3 linked regions of the Macaca mulatta genome follow. The protein of the gene in region 2 interacts with the protein of the main gene of each other region in a pairwise test. Links are inferred from orthologs where the notes say so. Each region holds a gene or a part of one and is shown on either strand. Other genes may lie near its edges.

What was found.
Region 1: the proteins of RBM41 (region 2) and RALYL interact in binary tests that used the Homo sapiens proteins (3 or more experiments, as listed by UniProt). The two-hybrid records come from large-scale screens. The link is inferred for Macaca mulatta from reciprocal best matches to the Homo sapiens genes RBM41 and RALYL.
Region 3: the proteins of RBM41 (region 2) and RINT1 interact in binary tests that used the Homo sapiens proteins (3 or more experiments, as listed by UniProt). The two-hybrid records come from large-scale screens. The link is inferred for Macaca mulatta from reciprocal best matches to the Homo sapiens genes RBM41 and RINT1.

The regions. Positions count from the first base shown.
Region 1 is NC_133413.1:94,791,374-94,795,587, reverse strand, and holds the start of RALYL (RNA-binding Raly-like protein), read right to left. Parts: upstream 2,858-4,214; 5' UTR 2,722-2,857; coding exon 2,706-2,721; intron 2,563-2,705; exon of another isoform or gene 2,485-2,562; intron 1-2,484.
Region 2 is NC_133426.1:113,911,959-113,916,130, reverse strand, and holds the start of RBM41 (RNA-binding protein 41), read left to right. Parts: upstream 1-1,328; 5' UTR 1,329-1,368; coding exon 1,369-1,376; exon of another isoform or gene 1,377-1,715; intron 1,716-3,120; exon of another isoform or gene 3,121-3,200; intron 3,201-4,053; coding exon 4,054-4,170; intron 4,171-4,172. UniProt on the Homo sapiens protein: May bind RNA.
Region 3 is NC_133408.1:145,133,514-145,137,162, forward strand, and holds part of RINT1 (RAD50-interacting protein 1), read left to right. Parts: intron 1-2,205; coding exon 2,206-2,390; intron 2,391-3,649. UniProt on the Homo sapiens protein: Involved in regulation of membrane traffic between the Golgi and the endoplasmic reticulum (ER); the function is proposed to depend on its association in the NRZ complex which is believed to play a role in SNARE assembly at the ER.

The sequences.
Region 1 (4,214 bases), on a different chromosome or scaffold from region 2:
CTATCCAAATATTTCACATTTCTTTTAACCAGGAAGAAAATGTTTAGCATATCAAATTATTTTTCTAATTAATAATTTTTATATTCTGAAGGCATCATTTGTTTGTATTATTATAGTAGCTCTTTCAGCCACTAGACTTTCATACAAATTAGAGAAAATAAACCAACTATCATTTTTAAGAAAGGTAACGCATCTATTATGGCTAAGGATGTGTCTTTATAATTGTATGTTTGGAACTTTTCCCCCTTGTATATACAACAACACAGTGCGACTATTTGATGCATGTTAAGAAAAAAATTAGGGTGCTACGTGATTGTTTATGTCCATGAAAAATACATATAAAAATAATTAATTGTTAATCTTCAATGATGAAAAGTTATTCATTTAAATATTATTCGACAGACCACACACTCAAGACAGAATTCCAACTAGAACTTTCTTTCTTTATATCGATTGAGAAAGACACTGTAAAATTAATTTAGTAATCCAAGATTTTAAACAATACCCACATTTTATTATCCCATAGAAAGTCCTAGAAAATTTAATAGTTTTCATTTTGTGATTATTTCTTTGTCACAGTTTAGACAGTAAAATGTTTGAGGTCAGATAGTGATCCAATGCCAATTTAGTTTGTGGGTCTTCTTTCCCTCGGTCCCTGCCTTTACCCTGGAAACCCTCTCTCCTTACAGCATACAAACTTTTTTTCCCTCCTTCTCTCTCAGTAAGCAGTTGAAAAGATCTGCACAATTAAATTGATGTAAATCCCTGTGGGTTTCTTGGCGAATGAAAAAATGTATTTTTTCCACGAGAAGCCAGTAGGCGGTGCTAAATGTAGGATACTACCTTCAACAATTTTAAATCAAAAACTAAACAGGTGGCCAGTTTAAGAGTTGTAGAATTCCCAGTATGATTCACACAGGAAGAAATTTGAAAATTTTGAATGTAATAGGCACAAATGTAATACAAGTATACAATATAATCAAAAATGAATCTTAAATAAATGAAAACATAGATAACCAAAGGTTCTTAGAACGGTCTTAAGTTACAGAAATTAAAGCCCAACTACCTGTCTGTCCTCACATTAAAATCGTCTTTGGTCCCATTAATGGTTTCAATCTCATTGGGAAAGATCATACAATACAGCTAGTGTTTTGTCCAATCTTAAGACACAAACTACCTCTACCTTAGGGCAGCAACTGATACTCTTAATGAAAATGCAGGTTCGATCACTCAAGCTCTTTCTTGCTTGCTTGCTCTGTCTCTCTCTCTCTTAAAAGAACTAAACGACATACAACACATAAAACATACAAAAATATATTATACACACAAATTGTCTTGCTTTTTAATAAATAAGCACTTCTATGTACATACATTGTTATAATTTAAATGATTTTTAAAATCACAGAATGTTGCAAATGGCTTTTTAAATGTTTTATGTTAGCTATTTGAACCATATGTTAGCTGTTTGAACCATATATTTTAGTAATTAGCTCACTATACAAAATAAGAAAATCCTAATTTCAGGCTTAGTGCCATCATATTGGCTTCAAATCTTAGAACTATACACATCAAGATATCAAATATGGTGTCCACAGACAGTGACATAAACTATCTTCTTTATATAAACGCAAGAGGATTTCCTTCACAGGGAAAAGCTACTGTGAGAACAAAATACCTCACATACAATGAAATGTCCAAAGACTTTTGAGATACTTGCATGAGTTGTGAATAAAAAATATATATAGCTTTCCAGATATTACACTAACTTTTAATCTTCTACAGATAAATGGCCCTTTGCACTCCTTACTTTTTGACCACAAAGAGTAAAAAATAAGGCATAAAACTTTTCATTCCACAAACTGAGGTTACAGACAGTGAAATATTTGCTTGAAAAAGCCAGTGTATGTTATAAACCCCTTTGTCATGGGCCCCTCTGTATGCTGGAGTCAGTTTTTATTTCTGTAGTTACCCAGAAGAAAACTTCATCCGAGAGGTAAAAAGTTGTTTCATTTGCCTTATGTTTATTTTACAGAATCCAAACTACATACACATGATAATTTAAAGCTAAGCTTTTCATTTAAGGGGGGGAAAGGTAAGAAAATCAAAGTATTTAAATAATGGTGACTCTCCAGATTTTAAGATGTATGCCTTTACGAAATTTATTTGGACAGAAAAATTTCCAGCAGATTCTGTCACAGTGTTAAATACAGAAAAGGCTTTTTATTGCGAACTGGTCCATCTCTGAAAAGTAATGCTAAATTATATTGAAAACATGTAACAGGATAATCATAAAATATAATAGAATACATTCAACACTGAGTATTTCAATGCTACCAACACACGAAATCATCACCTCTATCACTAACCCCTCACTCCTGCCCTGTACACAGTTCTCAGGGGAAAACCTTTAGAGCCAGTATTAGGTGGTTAAAAAGAGGGAAAACTCTCCCTCTAATAAAATTTAAATAAGGGGCATTTTTATACCTTAGAGCTGTAGGGTCATTACTGCAAACTAACAGCGTCGTCCTCAACATTAAACCCAAGTGACCATCTTATAAGAAACTATTTCCCCATTCCCTGGAAGACGACACCAGCAGGCACTTAAAACCAACGCAACACAACAGGCATAAAGAAAAGATCCAAAGACAGCACCACTAAGAAAGCAAAGCCCTTTGGAAAAGCAAAATAGGCTGGGAAAGACCTACTGCGTCGTTTACTCATTGCGAAGAGGAGGAGCAGGAGTTGAGCGTGCGGGGGCCGGTGCCATCCTCAAGGCTCTGGAAATGTCTCGAGCTCCGGCCCGCGTGGCCTGGAGCCAGTCCCTCCGGAAGATGCGGTCTCTGCCGCTTCTTCCCCCATCTCCCGGGTGCTCTGGGGGTCCCCTCTAGCCGGCCCGACGGCCTGCGCCACGTACACGGCCCTCGCCCCTCCTGCTGTGCAAGTGGCCCTCGGAGAACTTACAGGGCCCGCTGGCCACCTAGTGCCCGGCCGGCGCCGCCCGCAGCGCAGACACCACCCGCCCAGCCGGGAGATGACCTGGGCGCAGCTCACGGTGGGGGGTGGGGGGAGGGGACTGTATTTTGTGCACATCTAGAAAACGATCCTGAAGCCGGGAACTGACTTTGGTTTTCCCTGGCTCCCGGCGCGGCTCTCCCCACCTCCGGCGCGGACACTGCCCGGAGATGCGCGCGCGCAAACACACACACACACACACACACTCACACTCACACATTTCTTTGCTAGGACCAGTGTTGCCACTGCACACCCGGGAAACGCCTCCAAGGGGACCAAGTACCTGCTCTCTGCGAGCTGCTCAGCTGTTCACTTCATCCTCCGTTGACAAGGAAACCAAACCGCACTTCTTTTTTTTTTTTTTTTTTTCCAGAAAAACCTTCCACTGCCATCATTTGAAAATTGATTTACGGGGAGGGAAGGGGGAGAAATAAGGGACAATATAGATATAGATATCAGGATATCTATCATAAAATTATCTCGGTTTTTTTAAAAAAGTCAAATGTGCAAAAGTCATAGTTAATTTAAAGGAGGAAAAAAGTATTTTGCTTAAAAATGATCCCAGTCACCAGCTGTAAGAAAAGTTTCATGTTATCAATGGGTATCAAAAACAGGAGGGAAAAAAACGAATTTGTTCTCACCGGCTTCCAAAAAGGGCACAAAAATATAAAATTAATGTCTTTGCTCAGTGGTTTGCACCAGTATTGCAAGACCACAAACTTGTAAACACTGCCGTAAAATCCCACCTATACAAAAATGTTATCAGAAAAAGAGTATGCAAAAAAAAGAGTTAGAAACATGCTTTTTATTTTTACAAAGGAAAAAAATAGGCACCATACTTCACATCGCTTTTTCCATAAAACCAGTTGCACATTTTGCTGGACTTGGGAGACGCTCCCAGCGGGCACGGTCGCCGCGGACTCCGAGACACAGCGCCTTGTCTACAGAACGATCGCATGCTAGAAAAACTTGGATTCAGGAAAAGGCTCAAAATCATGCTCCTCCAGCTTTCCCAAATATAAACAATAATCAAAGAAGTGGAAAAAAAGAAAAAAACAAAAACAAAAACAAAAACAAAAAACAAAAAACAAAAAAAAGGACAAAAAAAAAGAATAGGACAAGAATGCCACTGAGAAGGTACTCACCGAGCGGGAGTAAAATGTTGTAATAAAAATGAGATTTAGTATAAAATACAGTATGGC
Region 2 (4,172 bases):
AGCAGTTCGTAGAGAACTTTGTCATCTTTATAACTGCTGCATAGTTTTTCACTGAATGATATATTTTCATAGTTTGTTCTTGGATATTTTCATTTCTGTTTTTATAAACAATGTTGCAAGGAATGATAGTAGGTTAGAGGATATATAGTATTGAGGACTCTATTCATAACTGAATTGCTGCTTTAAAGGGAATGTACATTTATGATTTTAGTAGTATCCTCATTTGCCCCCAATAGATGTTGTACCAATTTATATTCCTACCACTAGTGTATTGAGAGCGCCTGTTTCCCCACAATCTCAATAAAACAAGTGTGTTATCAAACTTTTGGATCTTTCCCAGTCTGTTAGGTGAAAAATGGTACTTCAGTGTACTTTTAAAAACAAACTTTAAGTTTTAGAACAGTTTTAGTTACAGAAAGGTTGCATAGTACAAAGTTCCACATACCTGCAACTCAGTTTCCCTTGCATAACTCTGGTACATTTGTCACAGCTAACGAACCTTGTTATTAACTAAAGAGCATAGTTCATTCACATTTCCTTAGTTTTTACCTCATGTCTTTTTTTCTGTTCCAGGATCCCATTCAAGATACTACATTACTTTAGTCATCATGACTCCTTTGGTTCCTTTTGTCTGTGACAGATTCTCATGTTTTTGATGACCTTGCTATTTTTAAGGAGTACTGGTAGTCAGTGCACTTTAAAATTTGTGAGATTGGACATCTTTTCATACACTTAAAGACATTTGCATTTCCATTTCTCGGAACTAAGAGCCCATGCTTTTAACCACTATACTATACCTCTTTCTTGATTCACCATAATTATCAGTAAAACATTTGTGAACCTGAATACACACAGACTTCTGATTCTAAGTGTACAAAACTCTCAAGTCTCTGTTACAGATAGAGGAGAACCATTAATACAGGTGATATAGTCAGACTCGTGTCTGATGACTCTGGCTACATCATGAAGGATGAAGCAGAGGCTCTACTGGAAACGGTAGGTAGGCTGGATAAATCCTTGAAAGAAAAGCAGTGTTGATAAGAAGTTCAAAGGAAATTACAGAAGAGCCAGGAATTAGTGGTAATGAATGAGAGAATCAAAAAGTCAAAGGTGACTCGGTTTTTTGAGCTGGATATTTTGGGTCTTCTTTTGAACCTAGATGAGCAATTCAAAATCAATATTTGGACAATGTTCAGCATACCTGTCACTCGAGACCTACTTTCTCTTTCTGTCGCCATAGCTCTGTGCTACTACAATTCCCAGAGCCCCATGCTCCATCACAATCCCCTTAGAGTCCGCCGCGCGGAGTTCTGGGACTTGAGGTCCGCGGCCTATTTACGCAAGTTGGAGGTAGGGGCCTGTGGAAACATGAAGAGGTAAGGACTTGTCTGAAGAGCAGGCGGCAAGGGGAGCTCTCTTCTACTTTTTCTTTTGAAAATGGCTTCAATTGCTTTCTGGTTTGGGTATTGCACGTTCTCGGGATGCGATTTCGTGGGAGCGGGAAGACGACAAAGGAGACGGGAGGAGGGGAGACGGGCTGAACAGGCCTGCAGAGCGAAGGTCAGGAAGGGCTGCCACCGGGCCCGGCTGCTGTGGGTATGCCCTTCCGGCATGGGCCCCGGGAGCTGGCCAGGTGCTGCGGCCTCGTCGTTTCACACGGACCCAGCTAGGCAAAAGGGTTTGAGGCTGACCAATTCCCGGCGCCGGAGATGAAGGTACCTCGGGCCAACCCCTCCTCGTCCTCCCCTACCGCCACCTCCACCTGAGAAAGGCTCGGGGCCAGCGTATTTATTTGCAACGTCTGTGTGTTGGAGACTACTTGCTCGGGCCCCGAAACCATATAGCGCTTTCCAATCTTAAAGTAAAGGAGTGGTACTTTGTTTCTAAATGTAGAAGGAGAGCACCAAAGCGGTTGGATTTTTGGGATGGGGGGAGGGGAGGTGGAAGGCATTGCTGGGCTCAGTTCCCCTTACTGGTCCTGAGGTAAATGGCCGCTTGAGCCTAAACGGCCCGAGCCTCCCAACTATTGACAGGCTTAAATTAATTTTTAGATTCACGCTGCAAGTAGAATCATCACTCTGGAATAGTGCAGTGCGTTTAAAATTCTTACTGATACGTTTTCCTGCACTGTCAGTTCCTTGCATCTTTTAAAAAACCGTTTTTGACTTTCCCTGCCTGAAACTAACCTTTAACGTTTTTTTTTTTTTTTTTACAGTATCTCATCCATGCAAAATAATGTATAATGTATATATACAGCTTAAAGAATAATAAAGGTTCGCATCCACTGCAAGCTTCAGAAATAGGACATTGCCAGTCCCTTAGAAGTCTACTGTGTCTTTTCCCTCCCTTCGTTCCCCTCTGAGGTGACCACTATCCGGAATTTTGCGTTACTGATTCCCTTGCTTTTAAAAAAGCAAATAGTTTCTAGTACATATGAATTTATCCCTAAACAAAATGTTCCTAGTTTTATCTATTTTTCAACTTTATACAAATGGACACATATATTAATTTTTCCGTGACTTGCTTTATTTTTTTACTCAACATTTCTTTTTGAGATTCATGTGTGTTGATGTCTAGAAACTTTAAACTTAGTAAGAAGTTTTGGGATTCTAAGTAATAAAAAATTGAGATACTTAAAATGAATTTTTTAACACCTTGGGCCTAAAGATAATTTAGAATTTTCCAAAATAGGGCCAAGTCTTTCTAGAGCCTGGGAATATTGTTTTTAATTATGGGTGTTAGTTTTTCTAGACTTTATCATAACCTCACTAGGAAAGAGCTATTTTATAAGGAAAGTATTTGATATTTGGTTTTTTTCCTGGAGTTAATTCATTTTTTGTATTTTTTAAAAATAATCTGTTGTTTCATGCTTAAATGGCCCTGTTATTTCTTTACACTCTAATAAGAGTTTTTAATTACTTAGTTAGTAGATCATGCTAGCCATGGCCTAGATTTCTACACAGTGGTGCCCAGGCTATAAAAATGTTATGACCATCTTCATATTTCTTTCTGTATTCTCTCCTTGGAGATCTCCTCCTCAGAGCTCCAGATCTTGTTATCACAGATGACTCAAGATTTATACATTCAGCCTCGGACTCTCATCTCTCATTTTCCCTTTAGCCAGTCACTCATGCTGTCCCTTCAGAATCATGTATTTGAAGTACTCCTGATACTTCATGCTGGCGTTTCTATTGTAAAAGGTACTAGACTCAACATGACTAAAACAATACTGACTTTCCCTTTCCCAAATCATTTATTCCATCTAGAGCTTTGGCTTTCCTTCATTGGTACCATTGTTCTCTCAGTTACACAGACTGAAATTTTGGGATTATCTTTGACTTCCTTGCCTCTGCTTCCAAAAGTCCCCTCTCATCTAACCCTTTCTTTCCATTTTCACTATTACCATTTCAGTCTAGACCTTCATCACTGTATACTTCACTAGTTTCATAACTAGTTCTTGTTTCTTCCCTTTGAATCTCTATGGCATATTATAACCACATTCATCTGTCTAAACTATCACTTGCACTGTGTCACTTAACTGCTTGATAAATTACTACTTCTCATTATCCTTCAGTATGTATTACTGTCCCTTTGTACTCTCTTTTCCTGTTTTCCTTTTCTTCATCACACACTTTTCAATGTCAGCGTAAGAGTACCTTTCTGAAGTCTTCCTTTACCACCTTTTTCTACCAATTTTCTCTTCTGTGAATTTCTACTAATTTGGCCTATGCTTCTATGTGTTATTATTCTCTCCTCCCACCGCCGACACAACACGTACATACATGTTTTTTCTCCCTAAATAGATTGTGACCTTCTTAAGGATAGAGACTATGTCTTAAACACCTTCGACTTCCCTCAGTACCTAGCATAGCGCATTCTGTGTAGACAGGTATTTAGTAAGTGTTCATGGACTAAATGGTAAAGGGCAGTGAATTGTTGGAGAAGTGTCTTTGAATAAATGGGGTCTCTAATGGTAGATAATATAGATAAGGAATATATTTTGAGACTCACAGTCTCTACTGTTTTCTGTATATATTCTTATATCTACTCCAGGGTAAACAGCTGTGTGAAGAGTGATGAGCATGTCCTGGAGGAGCTGGAAACAGAAGGGGAGAGGCAGCTGAAAAGCCTCCTTCAGCATCAACTTGATACTTCTGTCTCCATTGAGGAGT
Region 3 (3,649 bases), on a different chromosome or scaffold from region 2:
CAACTGAAGATCCACAGAAGTGAAAATAGCTTAACTGATGACATTCCACCATTGTGATTTGTTTCTGCCCCACCCTAACTGATCAGTGTTCTTTATAATGTCCCCCACCCTTAAGAGTTTCTTTGTAATTCTCCTCACCTTTGAGAATGACTTTGTGAGATCCACCCCCTGCCCCCAAAACATTGCTCTTAACTCCACCACCTATCCCAAAACCTATAAGAACCAATGATAATCCCACCACCCTTTTCTGACTCTCTTTTCGGACTCAGCCCGCCTGCACGCAGGTGAAATAAACAGCCATGTTGCTCGCACAAAGCCTGTTTGGTGGTCTCTTCACATGGACACGTGAAACAGTATACTGTTAATCTTTACATAAATAGTTGAACAATATCTTACATTTACATTTTGCACTTAGGCATATCATTATTTAGATATTAATATTAGTAAGTCCAATATGTACTGGACTTATTAAATGTCACAAAACAGGTAGTTTATTTGCCATGGAAAGAATCTCACTTCATACTATTTAGTGGTTGCATTAGTCATTCATTTTGATTTTTTCCTAGTAATTTGTTCTGTCATATTTTCTTTTTTCTGTTTCTGACAAAGATATCTTCGTACAATGACCTTTGAAGCTTAAAAACAATTTTTTTTTTTTTTTTTTGAGGCAGAGCCTCACTTTGTCGCCCAGGCGTGATCTCGGCTCATTGCAACCTCCGCCTCCCGTGTTCAAGCGATTCTTCTGCCCCAGCCTCCCGAGTAGCTGGGACTACAGGTGTGCACCACCATGCCCAGCTAATTTTGTATTTTTAGTAGAGACGGGTTTTCACCATATTGGCCAGGCTGGTCTTGAACTTCTGACTTCGTGATCTGCCTGCCTCAACCTCCCAAAGTGCTGGGATTACAGGCATGAGCCACCGTGCCCAGCTAAAACCTTTTTACTTTTTTTTTTTTTTTTTTTTTTTTTTTTTTGAGACGGAGTCTCGCTGTGTCTCCCAGGCTGGAGTGCAGTGGCGTGATCTCGGCTCACTGCAAGCTCCGCCTCCCGGGTTCACGCCATTCTCCCGCCTCAGCCTCCCAAGTAGCTGAGACTACAGGCGCCCGCCACCACGCCCGGCTAGTTTTTTGTATTTTTAGTAGAGACGGGGTTTCACCATGTTAGCCAGGATAGTCTCGATCTCCTGACCTCGTAATCCACCCGCCTCGGCCTCCCAAAGTGCTGGGATTACAGGCTTGAGCCACCGCGCCCGGCCTACTTTTTTTTTTTTTTTTTAAAGAGATGAAGTCTCACTCTGCAGTCCAGGCTGGAGTGTAGTGGTGCAATCATGGCTCACTGCAGCCTCGATCTCCCTGGCTGCTCAAGCAATCCTCCCACCTCAGCCCACCTGAGACTACAGGTGCGTGCCACCATGCCTGGCTAATTTTGTTAGATAAAGTCTTGCTTTGTTGCCCAGGCTGGTCTAGAACTCCTGGGCTCAAGTGATCCTCCTGCCTTGGCTTCCCACAGTGCTGGGATTACAGGTGTGAGCCACTGCGCCTGGCCTTTTAAAAAACATTTTAAAACAAGAGTCTTCCTTTTGATGTTGCTCTAGACCATACTACTGGTTCCTTACACATTTCAAAAAGGTATTACGCCTTGTCTATTGAAACCTGTGATTACTGGGTCGCACTTTAGGAATTTTTCCTTTAATACTTCCCTCAGCTCTTAAGCATTTTACAGTAGTTGGTTGATAGAGTGCTTTAGAGCTATTCATCTGGGCATTTGTATGTATGTGTTGTTCTTTAAATTATTAACTTTGTTTTGTTTTGGTTTTGTTTTTTGATACAGAGTCTCTGTCTCTCAGGCTGGAGTGCAGTGGCATGATCTTGGCTCACTGCAACCTCTGCCTCTTGGGTTCAAGGGATTCTCGTGCCTCAGCCTCCCGAATAGCTGGGACTACAGGCCTGTGCCCCCATGCCTGGCTAATTTTTGTATTTTTAGTAGAGACAGAGTTTTGCCACGTTTGCCAGGCTAGTCTCGAACTCCTGGCCTCAGGTGATGCACCTGCCTCAGCCTCCCAAAGTGCTGGGATCACAGGTGTGAGCCACCATGCCTGGCAAAATTATTAACTTTTGAAGGTAGATACACTGCTTTTACATGTTTTACATTTTCTTTAACTCCATAGTACATAGTGGCGTTGAGTAATTGTTATTCTTTTGTTTTAGGTGACATAAATGTTACAGTTCTTATTGGAAGTAAACAAGTCAGTGAAGGTACAGATAATGGTGATCTCCCTTCTTATGTGTCTGCATTCATAGAAAAGGAAGTTGGAAATGACCTTAAATCTTTAAAGAAACTTGATAAACTCATAGAACAGAGGACAGTAAGTAAAATGCAGTTAGAAGAACAGGTAAGTATTGAAACTCACTGACATAATTATCAATGGTATACTTTTTACAATATAATGTCTATTATATATAGAATTTTAAAGATACAGAATGTGATAAATAGTCTATTGTAAACTGTTTAAGAGGACTTAAGAACCTACAATATACTACCTATTTTACAAATTAGGTAAAAGACAAAGTTCCTACTGATATAGTTTGTCTTGAAAACATATTGAGACCTAACATTTTATATAGATTTTCACAGAGTGACTTTTTTTTCCCTTTCATTCTGTTTCTAGTGAACATACAGTGACTTTTTTTTTTGGGACAGAGTCTTGCTCTGTCGCCCAGGCTGGAGTGCAGTGGCCGGATCTCAGCTCACTGCAAGCTCCGCTTCCCGGGTTTACGCCATTCTCCTGCCTCAGCCTCTGGAGTAGCTGGGACCACAGGCGCCCGCCACCTCGCCCAGCTAGTTTTTTTGTATTTTTTAGTAGAGACGGGGTTTCACCATGTTAGCCAGGATGGTCTCGATCTCCTGACCTCGTGATCCACCCGTCTCGGCCTCCCAAAGTGCTGGGATTACAGGCTTGAGCCACCGCACCCAGCTTCATACAGTGACTTTTAAATTGCTTTTACAAGCAAATAATTTCATGGCATGTAAAAAAATATATACCATGGTGTAAACACCATCATTTCAATTTTTTTTTTTTTTGAGATGGAGTTTTGTTGCCCAGGCTGGAGTGCAATGGTGCCATCTTGGCTCACTGCAACCTCCGCCTCCTGGGTTCAAGCAGTTCTCCTGCCTTAGCTTCCCATGTGGCTGGGATTACAGGCATGTGTCACTCTGCCTGCCTAATTTTGTATTTTAGGTAGAGATGGGGTTTCAACATGTTGGCAAGGCTGGTCTTGAACTCGTGACCTCAGATGATCCACCTGCCTTGGCCTCCCTTAGTTCTGGGATTACAAATGTGAGCCACTGTACCTGACCACATTTCAAATTTTAATAAATACACACATAGGGAGAAGTATAAAGTGAAAAGAAGTATAACATAATGGTTATTTCTGGGTGGTTGGTTGACAAGTGGTGTATTTAAAAAATATTTCTAGGCCTGGCACAGTAGCTCACACCTGTAATCCCAGCACTTTGGGAGGCTGAGACGGGTGGATCACCTGAGGTCAGGAGTTTGAGACCAGCCCGACCCACATGGTGAAACCCCGTCTCTGCTGAAAGTACAACAAAAAAAATTAGCCAGGTGCGGTGGCAGGCACCTGTAATCCCAGC